Linked DNA regions of Stegostoma tigrinum. The protein of the gene in region 2 interacts with the protein of the main gene of each other region in a pairwise test. Links are inferred from orthologs where the notes say so. Each region holds a gene or a part of one and is shown on either strand. Other genes may lie near its edges.

Evidence for each region.
Region 1: the proteins of wtap (region 2) and Wilms tumor protein homolog interact in binary tests that used the Homo sapiens proteins (3 or more experiments, as listed by UniProt). The link is inferred for Stegostoma tigrinum from reciprocal best matches to the Homo sapiens genes WTAP and WT1.

The regions. Positions count from the first base shown.
Region 1 is NC_081370.1:43,239,818-43,247,029, forward strand, and holds the start of Wilms tumor protein homolog, read right to left. Parts: upstream 3,006-7,212; 5' UTR 2,585-3,005; coding exon 2,188-2,584; intron 1-2,187. UniProt on the Homo sapiens protein: Transcription factor that plays an important role in cellular development and cell survival. Recognizes and binds to the DNA sequence 5'-GCG(T/G)GGGCG-3'. Regulates the expression of numerous target genes, including EPO.
Region 2 is NC_081362.1:33,421,791-33,429,081, reverse strand, and holds the start of wtap (pre-mRNA-splicing regulator WTAP), read left to right. Parts: upstream 1-4,285; 5' UTR 4,286-4,321; coding exon 4,322-4,370; intron 4,371-4,421; coding exon of another isoform or gene 4,422-4,450; exon of another isoform or gene 4,451-4,557; intron 4,558-4,743; exon of another isoform or gene 4,744-4,952; intron 4,953-4,965; exon of another isoform or gene 4,966-5,155; intron 5,156-5,174; exon of another isoform or gene 5,175-5,364; intron 5,365-7,291. Other genes in the region: sod2 (superoxide dismutase [Mn], mitochondrial), read right to left, coding at 3,792-3,994, 4,422-4,450. UniProt on the Homo sapiens protein: Associated component of the WMM complex, a complex that mediates N6-methyladenosine (m6A) methylation of RNAs, a modification that plays a role in the efficiency of mRNA splicing and RNA processing.

The DNA.
Region 1 (7,212 bases), on a different chromosome or scaffold from region 2:
CCTCTGTACCTTTTTGAATAAATAGAAAACAAGAGCAGGCCATTCAGCCCAGCTGGTTGATGCCGGCGATAATGCAGCACCCCGGCCTCACTCATCCTCATGTTATTCACCAGCATATTGTGGGGGCATCAAGAAACAAAAGCGCATTATCTCGCATTCAAGAACCCCAATTAAAAACCTTAGAAACGCCCCAAATTGTCAATAAGCGCAGTTAGGCAGAAATGATCCAAGCATCGCATTTTCAGGTGAATTCTGCCCTGCTGCGCGAGAGCCCGACTCAGCAAACAGCCAGTCGCTGCGTCCGTTCGTTTCAAATTCGTTCGGATTCCTGTTTATTTGCTGTTTATTTCGGCCTCCACAAAGGAGGAATTCTCGAGTGGAGCAATATCCACGTGAAGGGAAAAGTTATTTATTAATTCCGGGCTTGTTTCCCCGGGCAGCTGTGAGCAGAGGGCACAGGACCCATTATTATATTCCAGAAAAGAAAATCGGCGGATTTGTATAAGTAAAATCTGTGAAATTTCTGTAAAAGTAATATTTGTAAAAGCGGCAGCTTAAAAGAGATACATTGCAAGTGATATCAGATATGGGGGTGGTGGAACAATGCAGGATTTCTCTTGAAATCCACTGAAGAAAAAAATGTTGTATTAAGGATGGCAGTGAGAATATCTCCAACATCTAGAAAAAAATATCTTTCGTTTTAATACCTGATGCGCGGCCCGCTTTTGCATAGCGCAGAGGAGCTTTCTATGTAAAATGATTGCAACTCAGCAGCAGCCACGGGTGATCTGCGATTTTCTACACATGGGGATTTAGATTATTGCATTAAAACAAATGCCTTGCACTTTTTAATCGTCTACCCGCTCATCTCTTTCCCCGTTCGGCTTTTATCTCTCAGTTTTCAACCCCCTATGTTCATCCTACTCACTGACCAGTAATCACAAACTGTTCTGCATTTGTTGCACTTTCATTAACGACTTGTTTTTTTTTAATTGATAATCCCATTTAAAGCTTTGTCAGAAGACTGCGCGTGTATTAAATTGAAGGTGCCTCAAATGTTTCAATTCAATCTCAATATAACGTGCGTTTTCATACAACGAAAACTTGTTTCTTTTTGACCCAATCCTCCAGGTATCACTATTTGAGGAAACATTATTCCACACCCCACCCCCACTTCCCTTGCCACCCATGAATGAGAAACGAGCTTCTGCAAGGCAACTCTTTAATACAACATAAATGGCAACAAAGAATCATCTATAATCACTCATATCCTCTGATACTTCAATCTGCAGAAAGCACTCACAATATTACACCCCACTAAATACACAGGGTTAATGTCGATACATGCACATTTTGTCGATTCTCGCAATTGCTTATGTGCCTCTGGGAACATCTCATTGATGCTTACAATCACATAAATACTACAGTCTTTCTAGCAATTATGTTTCAACTTCCCTCAAAATTACGTCCATTGATCCAATTTACTTTGACAAATGAAACACAGTTTTCACTGTACGCAACACAGGACTGTGGTTTGGAGACATCTGAGCCGGGTGCCGGAGTTTAAAAAAGTACATAACCCATCTTTCGGATTTCCGCCTGAGGATTTCTTTGCAAAAATGAAGTGCTCAGAGCTGGTTTTTAAAAAATGTACACCGCGCCGGACCAGTAAAAGTCGCTCCGCTTCAGAAAATAAGTTGGGAGCGTGAAGCCTTTTGAGAGACGTGAACTGGAAACGCAAAATGAAGAAGTGGAAACACTTTGTGTCGTACGGAAAGAACTTTCAAACGCCTTTGCATTTTAGCTACAAACGTGGTTTGCAACGGGTGCCCGATTCTACGTAGTACCGATCTCAACATTTTTAAGGGAAAAAGTGCGCTGAAATACATATTATTAACAGTTACATTGCTGCAGTGAAACCCCCGCTAACATCTGAACTAAATCTATCTGACTTGGTTTAAATTCTGTTTTGTCACATTGGTGACGGGAATTAGGAGGGCCTAATTTCACAAATGGAATCTGCCGAGCTGAATACTTTTAGGATTCTTTTTGTTGATACACTCGTTGCTAATAACCAGTTCTGCAGCCGTCTCTGAATTTTACCCCTAGTTGAATGGAAAGTTTTTGGGGGTGGGGGCTAGGAAATGGTAAATTTTTTTTTTCCCATTTCTGCTGCCGTTTTCTTACCCTGATTCCTGGCTGGCTGTTGCGTGTCCATACAATGGTTGAGGTAACCGCCGTTGGTGAACATTCTCGCCTGACTCGGAGGCGCCTGACTGGGCGGAGGAGCCCCGAACGCTCCGTAACGACAGGCCCCGGCCGTGCCGGTGAACTGACCGGAGAAGTGAACAGTGAAAGCGCTGAGGCAGTGGTCGTCGTGGGGCTCGCTGGCGCTCCAGCTCGGCTCTTGCTTGATGAAGGACGGGTGGCCGATCGGAGCGCTGTAAGAAGCCCCCGGGTGAAAGTCCAGCACCGGAGCCCATTGAGGAGCGCTGCTCACCGGCATGGTACAGCTGCTGTTCCCCGGGGTCAGAGTGGAGACTGCCGGCAGCAAAGCGTTCAGGTCCCGCACATCGGAACCCATGGTGTCCAAACAATCTTTTAACCAAAACGAATCAATCGTTTATTTCTTGTTCTCCTCTCTATATGAATCCGTTCCACCCTCCACCCCCTCCAACACAATATTCCCAGGGCTGGGATCTCCTCTTGTTGGTCAAACTTCCAAGCTCTTCACACAGTCTGCAGGGCTATTGTATTGAGGCTGTCAAATGGTATGTACGATAGGATGGCGAGTTGTGCGTGTTTAGTAGCAGCAACACTATGGCACATGTGTTGGATTGGATTGGTGACTCCGAGCCTCAAATACTGCGGAGAGGTGGAGCCTGAAAACTCTCTGATCGAGATCCGTCCTCCCTGGTTACATGGACCAGTTTCCCTGTCCACACAGTGTGTACAATTCTCTCTTTCTCTCTCTCACACACACACACACACACACGCACACACACTCTCTCTCCCTCTCGGTGGTGCGATCTGTCGATTAGTTAGCGAGAGAGGAACAATCTGGGCGAAGGGGTGGGGGCAGGGAGGAAGCGATGGGGACGAGGGTGTGTGTCTGTGTGTGTGTGTGTGTGTGTGTGCGCGCGCGGAGCGGGGGTGGGGGGTGGGATGCATGTAGGGGTAATTCATCCCTAATTTCGAAAGTCGCTATCATTCGACTCAAGCCTGTGGTGAATCTAACCAAACTTCCCCTCTATATTTTCTGAAGAGCTTGTTCTGCAATAATGGAGGCTGTGGATCAGATCAGTAAGTCGAACTAAAATGTCGAATAAGACACTACATAACTTTAACATCTGTATACATAAACATAATATCACAGGTACACGTGAATACTGGATGGAGATGAAATTGACTCCCTGGAATATTCAGGTTATTGTAATATTTCAAACAAAAACAAAAGCTCGCTGTATTTTAATTTAGCTTCGCTTTGCTATCGCTGCATTTGTCGGAGATTTCAGAATCACTATATCTGCTTGTGGGATCCCAAAGTACAATCTAAACTGTTGCTTGATGTTTGAAAACAAAAGCACGAAACGTTCTCTTTCTGGGCAACCAGCTGCTTCGTTTATTTTGCTTGGGATATTTGAAACGACCGAAAATAAGCGAAATGCTTGCATATGTTTTATTTAAAGGCATTTTTATTTTATAAAATCCGAACATCACTAAAACTGTTCCGACTTGGGCAACATTTTTTCAGTTTAAATGTCAATTGGCTGCTGATTTGTCGATGGTTTGATGTACAATATCTCCACTAGAATGTTCGAAAATGTGAGCCACCAACTTATCATTTAATCTTTATTTGTGAACGCACCACACGGGGTTGTTGATGGATGTGCAGAGAATTTGCGATTGGGACTATATGATAAACTATTAGCTTCGCGAAAAAAACGCAGGGAGAACAGAAGAGACGCATCAGTTCCGAAGTGACAGACCACAATCCATTAAAGAAACGAGCAGCACATAAACGACCATTTAAACGTTAATGAACTTTCCCCTCGCAGACGATTACTTTTTGCCTGACATGTTTTCCTTTTAATTTTCACACGGTCCAGGAATCCGACGGTCTGTTAAACAGCGATCTACTTAATTTGCTTTCTTTTAAAAAAAGCTCTGGGATAACTTGAGATCTGTTTTCATTGAAGCAGGTGAAAGCTAAATCGAATGCCAGGAATACAGCCTTAGAGTAAAAGGTTGAAGCAAACAATTGTGAAAAATGCAGATATGCAATGCATTTTTACCCAGATTAGATCTTAATTTAGTAAATGATATAACCGACTATACAGTGGAGGTGGTGACCTTATTGCATAGAACACTTCCTAAGTAATGGAACGCAGTTACTGTGCAGTGCTGTGCCAGTTATTGAATGAGTTTACACGCCCTGTACAGTACAAAGTAAAATATTTTGAGATGCGAAATTACACTTGCCGCAGATGCAATCGCAAACAGGTCTCACGCCTTTCTTTCCAAGACCAAACATTAGGAAAACAAAACCGCGTGGTTACAAGCGTACAAAATAATACGATTAATTATTTACCTCAAACTACTTTGCGGAAAGCATGGGCATTTATTATTCTTGTAGGCTTCTAAGTAATAATCTCGGGATGGAAAATAGCAATTTGCAATTGCTGGAATGGCTTGCGATTGTGAACCTGTGACGTTTGAACTTTCGCCCTAATTGCATCCTTATGATTTCTTAAGTATCAGTGTGTACATGAAAGTTAAAAAAAAGTGGAAATCACTTGTTTCGAGCAAAACTAAATCCCCTCTCCATGCAGCTCCCAACACCTTCATGCAAACGCCTGTTTGTACCATCCGGCAGATTTAAGAAAAACTGTTCATGATAACACAACACGTCCAATCAAATGACGCATTATTCTTTTATTTCTTGAGATTTATTGCTACATCCTTTTTTCTTAAACTTTATAGCTATATTTGAAGATTAGCACAGTTAAATGAAAGGTTTTCGTGGGGAAAGATCTATTAACCAGTGAGCACAGAGAACAGTTACTGAAATACAGCAATCATTTCAGACAAAATCGTCTATTTGCAATATTGTAATTATATCATTGTATTCTATAAAATATGTTCCTCTAATTTTCACCGGAAGTTTTTAGAAGAACGCATTAGATTTGATGTAATTTTGTACGATTTAAAAACAGTCATCATATTTTCCCCTAAGAGACTATCAAGGAGAAAGATAAGTCGTTTCTAGTTATTATCCATTGTAGTCTGGTAGTTACTCAGCTTTAAATTCAATTGGGCATTGTCAATATGAAAGGAAAGTGCGTGTTACTTTAAAAATATTATTGATTTTTCCTCCAGCCAGTTACACAGCACGTTTCTTCGCAAATCCCTCCGGGGTGTGACTCGATATCGGGTCACTGTTAGAAAGAGCCTAGAGCTAATCAGTACAGTATTGACTAAGAGTTGTTATATTTCACCAAATATTAAATTGACCGAATGTGTAAATGTCTGGCGTTTTCCTTTTAAATGCAGTTTCCCCTCAGAAACTGGGAGCGCTTAGACAAAAAATTAAAGAACTTTCGAATTTAAAACAAAGAACGTCAAGTTAAAAGTTTCATGTAGATATAAATACACGACTATTTGTTTGAAAATAAGCAGTCAAATTTTGAAATTTGAAAATGATTTCGAAACAATTTGAAGCGATTTGTTTAAAAGCGAATAAAACTGAAGATTAAGAGAGGAACTTAAGGAGAGTTAAAACGGTGCTGCGATCAGATTTATTTGAAGGATGTTGAAGCAGCAGGACGACTTAACTTGAAAAACTAAAAGTAATCATTCTGCAAAAAGACCCGGGCGAAATTAATCGCCTCGATAGAGAGGAATGATAATAAAGCTAGCCAGCGTCCCACGTCACAATGTACTTTGAGAGTTGGTGTAAAGCTATGGTTTTGATGCACATTTGCTGTAAGTAATTTCATTGAAGGCGGCGTTCCCGTGGGTTTTTTTTCCCCCGGGGAATGGAATTTTGGTTTTTCATTGTTTGGATTGTCAGAACTTGCGAACTTCGTGTATGCATCCAAAGAGTGCGAGAAACCAAAGAGTGGTGTGTCCAGTTTGAACTCCTAGCGGATTTACTGTCAATTTGGAAGTTTTCTTTGACTTCAAACAAGGCCAATTGATTTCAACATCTTTCATGAAACGGCGCGAAACTCAGAATGAAGGTTACAATTCAAATCTGTGTAAAGAACGTCATTCATTTAATTTCACAGCCCGGTGTAAGGATTTGCGAGGACCGACCATCTATTACTTTCACAATGTGCCTCTACCTTTGGGAATTAGGACCACTCCAACTAAACGTGCCTGACTGAAAGCACCTTCCTCGACCAAAGAAAAGGCAGTTTCCCTTTGGGCTGGAAAATGTCCAATTAACTACCTTATTTATTATACTTAAACCCCCGATTCTGCAGGTGAACTTTTTTTTGGAATAAACACGTTTGGAACGATTGCCTTTGACATTCCAAACTTTCAGAGAATGAAAAATAAACACTTTTCTTAAGAAGCACGAAAACGTCAATTGGCGCAGTTAACAATTATTTTCACATACTTCCCTCGATAAATTGAATCTCTCTTTGTACAGAGTGACGTGCTTTTCCTCGACTGATTTGAACCTTGATCCTATTTCACTAGTTTTGAACTGGACGTTACTCCATTTTGAAATAATGACAAATTTGTTTTATTTTGATTTGTGGTTCGGCTTTTACAATCGGCCCCGTCACTTTATTTTAGAAGTTGCTGTGGGTGAGGTAAGTGATTTCATTCAGTGTCTCCCCAACCTGGACTATCGACCTGGTCATTTGTTCAGCTCCCCAGACTGGTCAGTAACAGATGGAAAAGCAACATGCCAAAGGTAAAGGTGAAGATTAGTCTGTTAAGCCCCGGCATTGGAAGTTGAAGAGGATCTCGTCCGTGTAAAAGATTGACAAGTGATCTTCTGTTCGTTGTTAACCCAGCAAACGGATCATTTCATCACTATGTACAATTTGCACTCGGGATGTTGGGGTTCTTCCGGAGCAGAGGTAGTGAAGTCACATCTGAGCTAAGACACCCATGTTCAAATCTTATTTACCCTAAAGGTGTGTCAAACGTCACTGAATAGGTTTGTTAAATATATCTATAACTGAGATCACATTG
Region 2 (7,291 bases):
CTAATGCAGTATATCCCTTAATATCCAGAGTTGACAGGATTTAATGTTCTCACCCTTTATTGAAACACATTGGTTCTGTATCTCCATATTTCCTTATTGAACGCATCCTACTGTCCTTGGCCGGATTTGCAAGTATCTACTTACAGTACACTCTGCCCAAAGCATATCTGACCTCATTGAAATAATCCACCCCTCAGCCGAGACCTTTGATTTCAGGCCCAACCTTGTTCTTTTCCATAACAATCATGACTTGAATGGACTTACAATTGCTGCTTGCTAAATGTGTTCCAGTAATACCTCAACCACTTGCCCAGCATCCTTCCCTACAATTAAGTACAGAACTGCCTCCTCTCTCGTAAAGAGCTCTCTGTACTTGTTTAAAAAGTTGTTCAGGATGCATTTTAAGAATTTCTGCTCCAGACCTTTCACACAATGACTACTCTAGTTAATTTTGGGCAAGTTGAAATCCCCTATCACAACCCTACTACTTATACACTTTTGAAATGTGCCTACATATCTGCTCCTTTATTTCTCTCAGGCTGTTAGGAGCCTACAGTACACTCCAGCAATGTGATTGGTCTTGTGTGTTTTTTTTAAACACCACCAACATGGCTTCATTTGAGGAGCCTTCGAAGATGTCATTCTTCCTGAAATAGTTCTATCGAGAAATAACATCTTCCTCTTTTACCTCCTTCCCTGTCCCACCTATAGACCCTGTAACCTGGAACATTGTTAACAGACGATCAAGACTGGCAGCTGTCTTACAAACAGCAGTGACATCATACCCTCATGTTGTGCCCTCAGCTCAACTGCCTTGTTCATCAGACACCAAGCATTAAAATAAATACCTTTCAACCTTGCCAAACTCCCTGCACCTTAACAATCTATAATATGACTCGCTTGCTGTCACTTCTAATTTTGGACATTCATCTTCATCTGAACATTCTGTCTGGATCTGTCAAGTCAGCCCTGCTACCTAATGGGTCTTCAATCTACTTCCTATCTCCCCAGATTCTGCTTTCAGGACATCGTCCCCTTTCCAACCCATGTTTTTGGTACCGCTACGTACAACGATCCCTGGCTGTTTGTCCTCCCATTTCAGCAGTAGGGTATTCTGGGTCAGTGGCATCCCTGACCTTGGCACCAGCAAGGTGACATACCATTCTGGAGATAATGGGAACTGCAGATGCTGGAGAATCAGAGATAACAAAGTGTGAAGCTGGATGAATACAGCAGGCCAAGCAGCATCTCAGGAGCACAAAAGTTGACGTTTCGGGTCTAGACCCTTCATCAGAGAGGGGGTTGGGGAGAGGGTTCTGAAATAAATGGGGTCGGGGGGGGGGGGGGGAGGCCTCCCCCTCTCTCCCTATTTATTTCAGAACCCTCTCCCCAACCCCCTCTCTGATGAAGGGTCTAGACCCGAAACATCAACTTTTGTGCTCCTGAGATGCTGCTTGGCCTGCTGTATTCATCCAGCTTCACACTTTGTTATACTATTCTGGAGTCTCTTTTGTGGTGACAGAAATGTCCCCCTTACAATCGAATTGAATCCCCTGCCATCCTTTTACATCCTCACGTGCAGTGTGCCCACCCACAGTGCCACGAATTTGATTACCATTGCTTTCCCCTGCACAATCATTTCCCCCAGCAGTATCCAAAACAGTATGTCTGTTAGAAAGTGAGATGGGCACAGGGGACTCCTACCTTCCTGTGCTCTGTCTAATGGTCATCCATGCTCACTGAATGTGTTTTCCACAACCTGCTCAGAATTACAGATTCTCCAAAATGCAGATCACCAATAGCTGTGGCTGGACACACTTCTGTACACATTTTCACCAGGGCAACTGAAGCTTCCATGATTGCCACATAGTTACAGCAGGAGTATATCACAGGTGCAAGCTTTGCTGCCGTGACTTTTTTTAAAGTACATTTGTAACTCTTTTTTTCTAATAAAAAAGATTGTGATAATTTAGAATACTGCTAACTTACTTTCCCATGCTATGTACTTTCCTTACCCTACTTTACTTATTTATATTTCTTAATTATACTGGACCTGACTTTCATTTGTTTCTGTTGTTTCTCAGTTAATCTCTTCTTTCAAAAAGTATACACTGCTTAAAAAAAATCACAAACCAATCAATATGCCACCAGTGATGTCACTGTTTTGATTTGTTTTCCCAATCAGCAGATCTCTGAAGCTGCAGCTATTAAACTAGGGCTCCTTTCCCTCAGCTGAAGGAACTTACAAACTATGGACAAATAAAAACAGAAAGCATCAGGGAAGGGAATTACTGCCCTGAGTTTAACAAGATAGGGCGGGAAATCTCACAAAACCCTACAATGAAAAACTCTCCAAAAAACTTGATGCAACCTGGACTTAGCAAAATGATTCAGCCTGTGATCTACCAAGCTAGATTCTACCCTGGAAACTGACTTGACCAATATTAGATGAGAGAAAGCTGAGTTAACTTGGGAGTGGTTCATAATCTGAAGATGTTGAATTCAATATTAATTTCAGAAGGTTGTAAAGTGCTTAGTCTGAAAATGAGATGTTGTTGTTCCAGTTTATGTTATTTGCTGCAGCATTGCAGCACACTGACAACTTTAAAAGAAACACAAATTCCTCATTGAGGTAACAAGGTGTAGAGCTGGATGAACACAGCATCAGAGGAGGAGGAAGGCTGACGTTTCGGGCCGAGGCCCTTCTTCAGGCCCTGGACCATTTTCTGAAGAAGGGTTTCGGCCCAAAACGTCAGCCTGCCTGCTTCTAAGATGCTGCTTGGCCTGCTGTGTTCATCCAGCTCCACACTTTGTTATCTCGGATTCTCCAGCATTTGCAGTTCCCATTATCTCTTTGCTCAAAGCTAAACGTGGAACAGTTTAATACCATTATTTACTTGGAGGAACAAAAACAAACTTGTGATGTCCTGGAAAAATGAGACATGCTGCTGAATTGTTTTATCACATACGGAACTGAGTACAATCACTAGAATACCATATGTCAAAGGAAACAAATTATACTGTGTGAAGAAAGGATACTGAATGGTTGGCAAATAGATTCCGAATGGTAATGCACCAAGCAACATCTCCCCAAAGAAAATGTTAATTGTAGTTCTTTTTAAATGTAAACTTGGCAAGTCTCACCCAATCATGACCGTTTGCCAACCAATTAGCATTCTATTCTCATGCAGTATAAATTGTAGCGGCCTTTGAAGTTTGATATTCTCATGATTCTGTCCTGTCGACTGCAAGATAAAATAAAAAGCTAGTTTAAAAAAAGCACACTTTTTTTGGAGATAGTAAGAGCTGCCAATGCTGGAGTCAGAGATAACACAGTGTGGAGCTGGAGGAGCACAGCAAGCCAGGCAGCATGAGAGGAGCAGGAAAGTTGACATTTTGGGTCAGGACCCTTCTTTAGAAATGGGGCAGAACTGCCTGGCCTGCTGTGCTCCCCAGCTCCACATTATGTTATATAGCACATTTTTTTCTTAGTAGTAATAGTATTCGAAGTCCATTATTTCACTCCCGAAAGCATTCTGATTTTTGAAAGAATTATCACTTATTCCTCCCTGGTCAGCTAATTTATACGTTGAATCACAGATCTCATGTACCCTTAAAAAAAAGAAAAAAGCAGATGCTAGACTTCAGGACCAAAAACAGGAATTGCTGGCAGAACTGACTAAGTCTGGCAGAATCTGTGGAGAGAAATCAGTTAACGTTTTGGGTCCAGAAACCCAGAACAGACCTATTCAGTTTCTCCAGCAATTTCTGTTTTTGTTGTGTACACTTACCCTTGGCCAAAGCCTCAGCATATTTCTCTTCTGTGATATTCAAGTTGTTTACATAGGTAGCATGATGCTTGCTATGGTGCAGCTGCATTATTTCTGCACTGATATGTGGCTCCAATGCACCATAGTCAAAAGGAAGATCAGGCAGTGTGTGTTTTTGTTTGGAGGCTAAACAATGAAAATCTGGAGAAATGCTGGAGTAACATCTGCATGAAAAATGGAAGTTATAATCAGTCAAATTAAAAACATATTCACTTTCAAATGCTTGTTCACTTTTGAAACATTAACTACTTTAAATGCTTTCAAGCTTCTGATATTTATCAAGGAAAAAAGTTGAACGGGGTGGACGAAAATGAGTGAAGTGGGACAATGAACAGGAGGGGAGAGGGACAGAGGAAGCAAGTGGGGGAAGGGCGAAACGGAGTAAAGGGGTGGACGGGGGTGGAGATGGGGAGGGAAAGGGATTTGGGGCAGCGAGAAAAGTCGTTGAGACGGTACTCAATCAGCCTTCCGGGAGGATTTTTGCAGAAGCGATGTCAACGTCGAAAGCTTTACTCCAACGACATGAGCGTGATTTTGCCGGTGACTGCCCTACGCGTGCTTTATTTTTAAACTAACAAATATCACACTCACCTTTGAAGATAATTGAGTTTGTTTAACATATTCAGATTTTAGTGTGCGCTGGACAACGTCGAAAGGCACAAACACAAAACCTGTGCTTGCAATCGTACAACACAACGCCCTTGACCTTTGAACTCAGACCCAACCATTTCATTATTTTTTAATTGAATTTTTTTTTTAAAAATCACCTAAATTCAGGAATAATAGCAAAACTAAAACAAGTATTTTGTCGGAAGTATTTATTCTTAAAAAATCGCAAGCATGAATCTTGGTAACTCATCCCTACTACAATCCCTCCAAATTTTTTTGGCACAGCAAAAGCGCTCTTCCGACAACCCAAAGCAGAGGTTTATTTCTGTTGTGCGGTTCTGCGTGTTACTCCGCTACTGAATTTTGAAGTGCGTGTTTCCTTCCCGTGACGCGTCTTAGACGTGAATGGCGGTCGTGGTGACAGCTTGTGCTAGGTTGGCTTGAACTCTGCCCAGCATTAATAGGCATTCAATAGGTTGAATGTGGTACTGTTCGATTTTTCAAGGAAGTCGGGTGAGTGAGTGAACCGGCTGGCTTGCGGGCGCGGCAGTGCGTCAGTTGGATTCGGCGGCTGCTAGGCCGGAGACTCGCGGCGCCATTTTATCTAGGGTTTTTTATTCTACCAAACGACGATTAAGTCAGAAAACGCATACATCTCTGAAGAGCTGGTGATCTAAGCCCCTCCTTACACCCGGGGCCTTGCAGCCAGGCTCACGGTTAGTGTTTTTGGACATAGTGTTTTAGTTTGTGTCTGGAGTTTCTAAAAGTGAGGGTAGCAAGTGTCTTTCCTTGTTATAAGCGTGCACTTGTTTTAAATGACACTAAGCGTGTTTCTTGCTCGTACCACCTCGAAAAATAGCCCTCGAACTAGGTAATGCATGCCGACCATTAGGGCATCGGATAGGATGAGCTTGTTTGTTACAGGGTAAGTTGTTATTGGGCCTAGTAGATTCTACATTCACGGAAATGGGGTATAATAGCGATCCTTTGCAAAAATGAAAGGATTGAGCTTGTGTCATGATCGATAGGAAACCGTTTCTATGCTGCAGAGCGGAAGCCGCCATTAATTTCCGAAATGAGTTATAGATTTTTTTCTCCCAAACGGGCATTTGCCGAATGCCACGGTGGTTATTAAGTAGACATGCTTTTTCTTTCTCGTTGAGATTTGAAACTATTGAGAGTTTCTTAGAGTAACCGATTCTACGTTTGAACTATTGAGTTATCTTTAATAGGTTTTCCTTTGCGTGGATAACAGAAAAGGCTTGCTTACTTGGCTGTATGTGTGTCACCTTTTATGCTACTCAAATTGGGCTGTTATAATTAAAAGGGGAATTTTTTCTGAAAAGTTGAAATAAAGTAGAAAGAAAAGCTTTGACCGCTGCAGTATCTATTGCCGCAGTGTGCCTTTTGTTTCAGTTGCCTTTTGCATGCACTTTGTATTGAGAACACTACTGAGAAGTGAAAAGGCACAAAATGAAGTTGTCGCAAGATGGTTGTCAAATGAGAAGGTTTGAGAAAATCAAGAGATTCCGGAGTACAAAGGATGTTGTAATCTCCAATTTCACTCTAATCTGAAATCAGTGTTTGGTCAAATAATGCAAAAAAAACTAAACATTTTTAGTCATCGAGATAGTCACCTGAAATTATTTTATCACAAACTGTTGGATGAGTTGTATCCTTTCTTTATAAAACTAAACCAGGCGTCTCTGTCAATCTCCTCAGGAATATTTTATAAATCTGTTCCTAATAGATGATGTTACAAGGACACGGACCTAAGGTTTTGGGCATGGGAGAAAGAATTGCTTTGCAGGATAAAGCTGGCTACTTCTGTATAGTCTGAAATTAAATACAGTAAATGTCTAAAGAGACTTGGTGGGTCAGGTGAATGGAGCACAAAAATGCCACGAACTGGTGCACAAAATAATACAAAGTACTGAGTCTCCAAATCTAGGAACTACTTTAGGAGGATTTTATTCGCATTGGGGCGAGTACACTGTCAGTCGGCAAGAACAGTGCATGGACTTCATTGAGCAGAGAGGGGGATGGGGGGAGGGAACTGGAATAAATAGGGAGAGAGGGGGAGGCGGACCGAAGATGGAGAGTAAAGAAGATAGGTGGAGAGGGTGTAGGTGGGGAGGTAGGGAGGGGATAGGTCAGTCCAGGGAAGACGGACAGGTCAAGGAGGTGGGATGAGGTTAGTAGGTAGCTGGGGGTGCGGCTTGGGGTGGGAGGAAGGGATGGGTGAGAGGAAGAACCGGTTAGGGAGGCAGAGACAGGTTGGACTGGTTTTGGGATGCAGTGGGTAGAGGGGAAGAGCTGGGCTGGTTGTGTGGTGCAGTGGGGGGAGGGGATGAACTGGGCTGGTTGAGGGATGCAGTGGGGGAAGGGGAGATTTTGAAACTGGTGAAGTCCACATTGATACCATATGGCTGCAGGGTTCCCAGGCGGAATATGAGTTGCTGTTCCTGCAACCTTCGGGTGGCATCATTGTGGCATCCTGGACACCACCCCCAGGCCTCCTACCCTCCCTCGACCTCTTCATCTCCAACTGCCGTCGAACCTGGACACCACCCCCAGGCCTCCTACCCTCCCTCGACCTCTTCATCTCCAACTGCCGTCGAACAACCAGCCCAGCTCTTCCCCTCTACCCACTGCATCCCAAAACCAGTCCAACCTGTCTCTGCCTCCCTAACCGGTTCTTCCTCTCACCCATCCCTTCCTCCCACCCCAAGCCGCACCCCCAGCTACCTACTAACCTCATCCCACCTCCTTGACCTGTCCGTCTTCCCTGGACTGACCTATCCCCTCCCTACCTCCCCACCTACACCCTCTCCACCTATCTTCTTTACTCT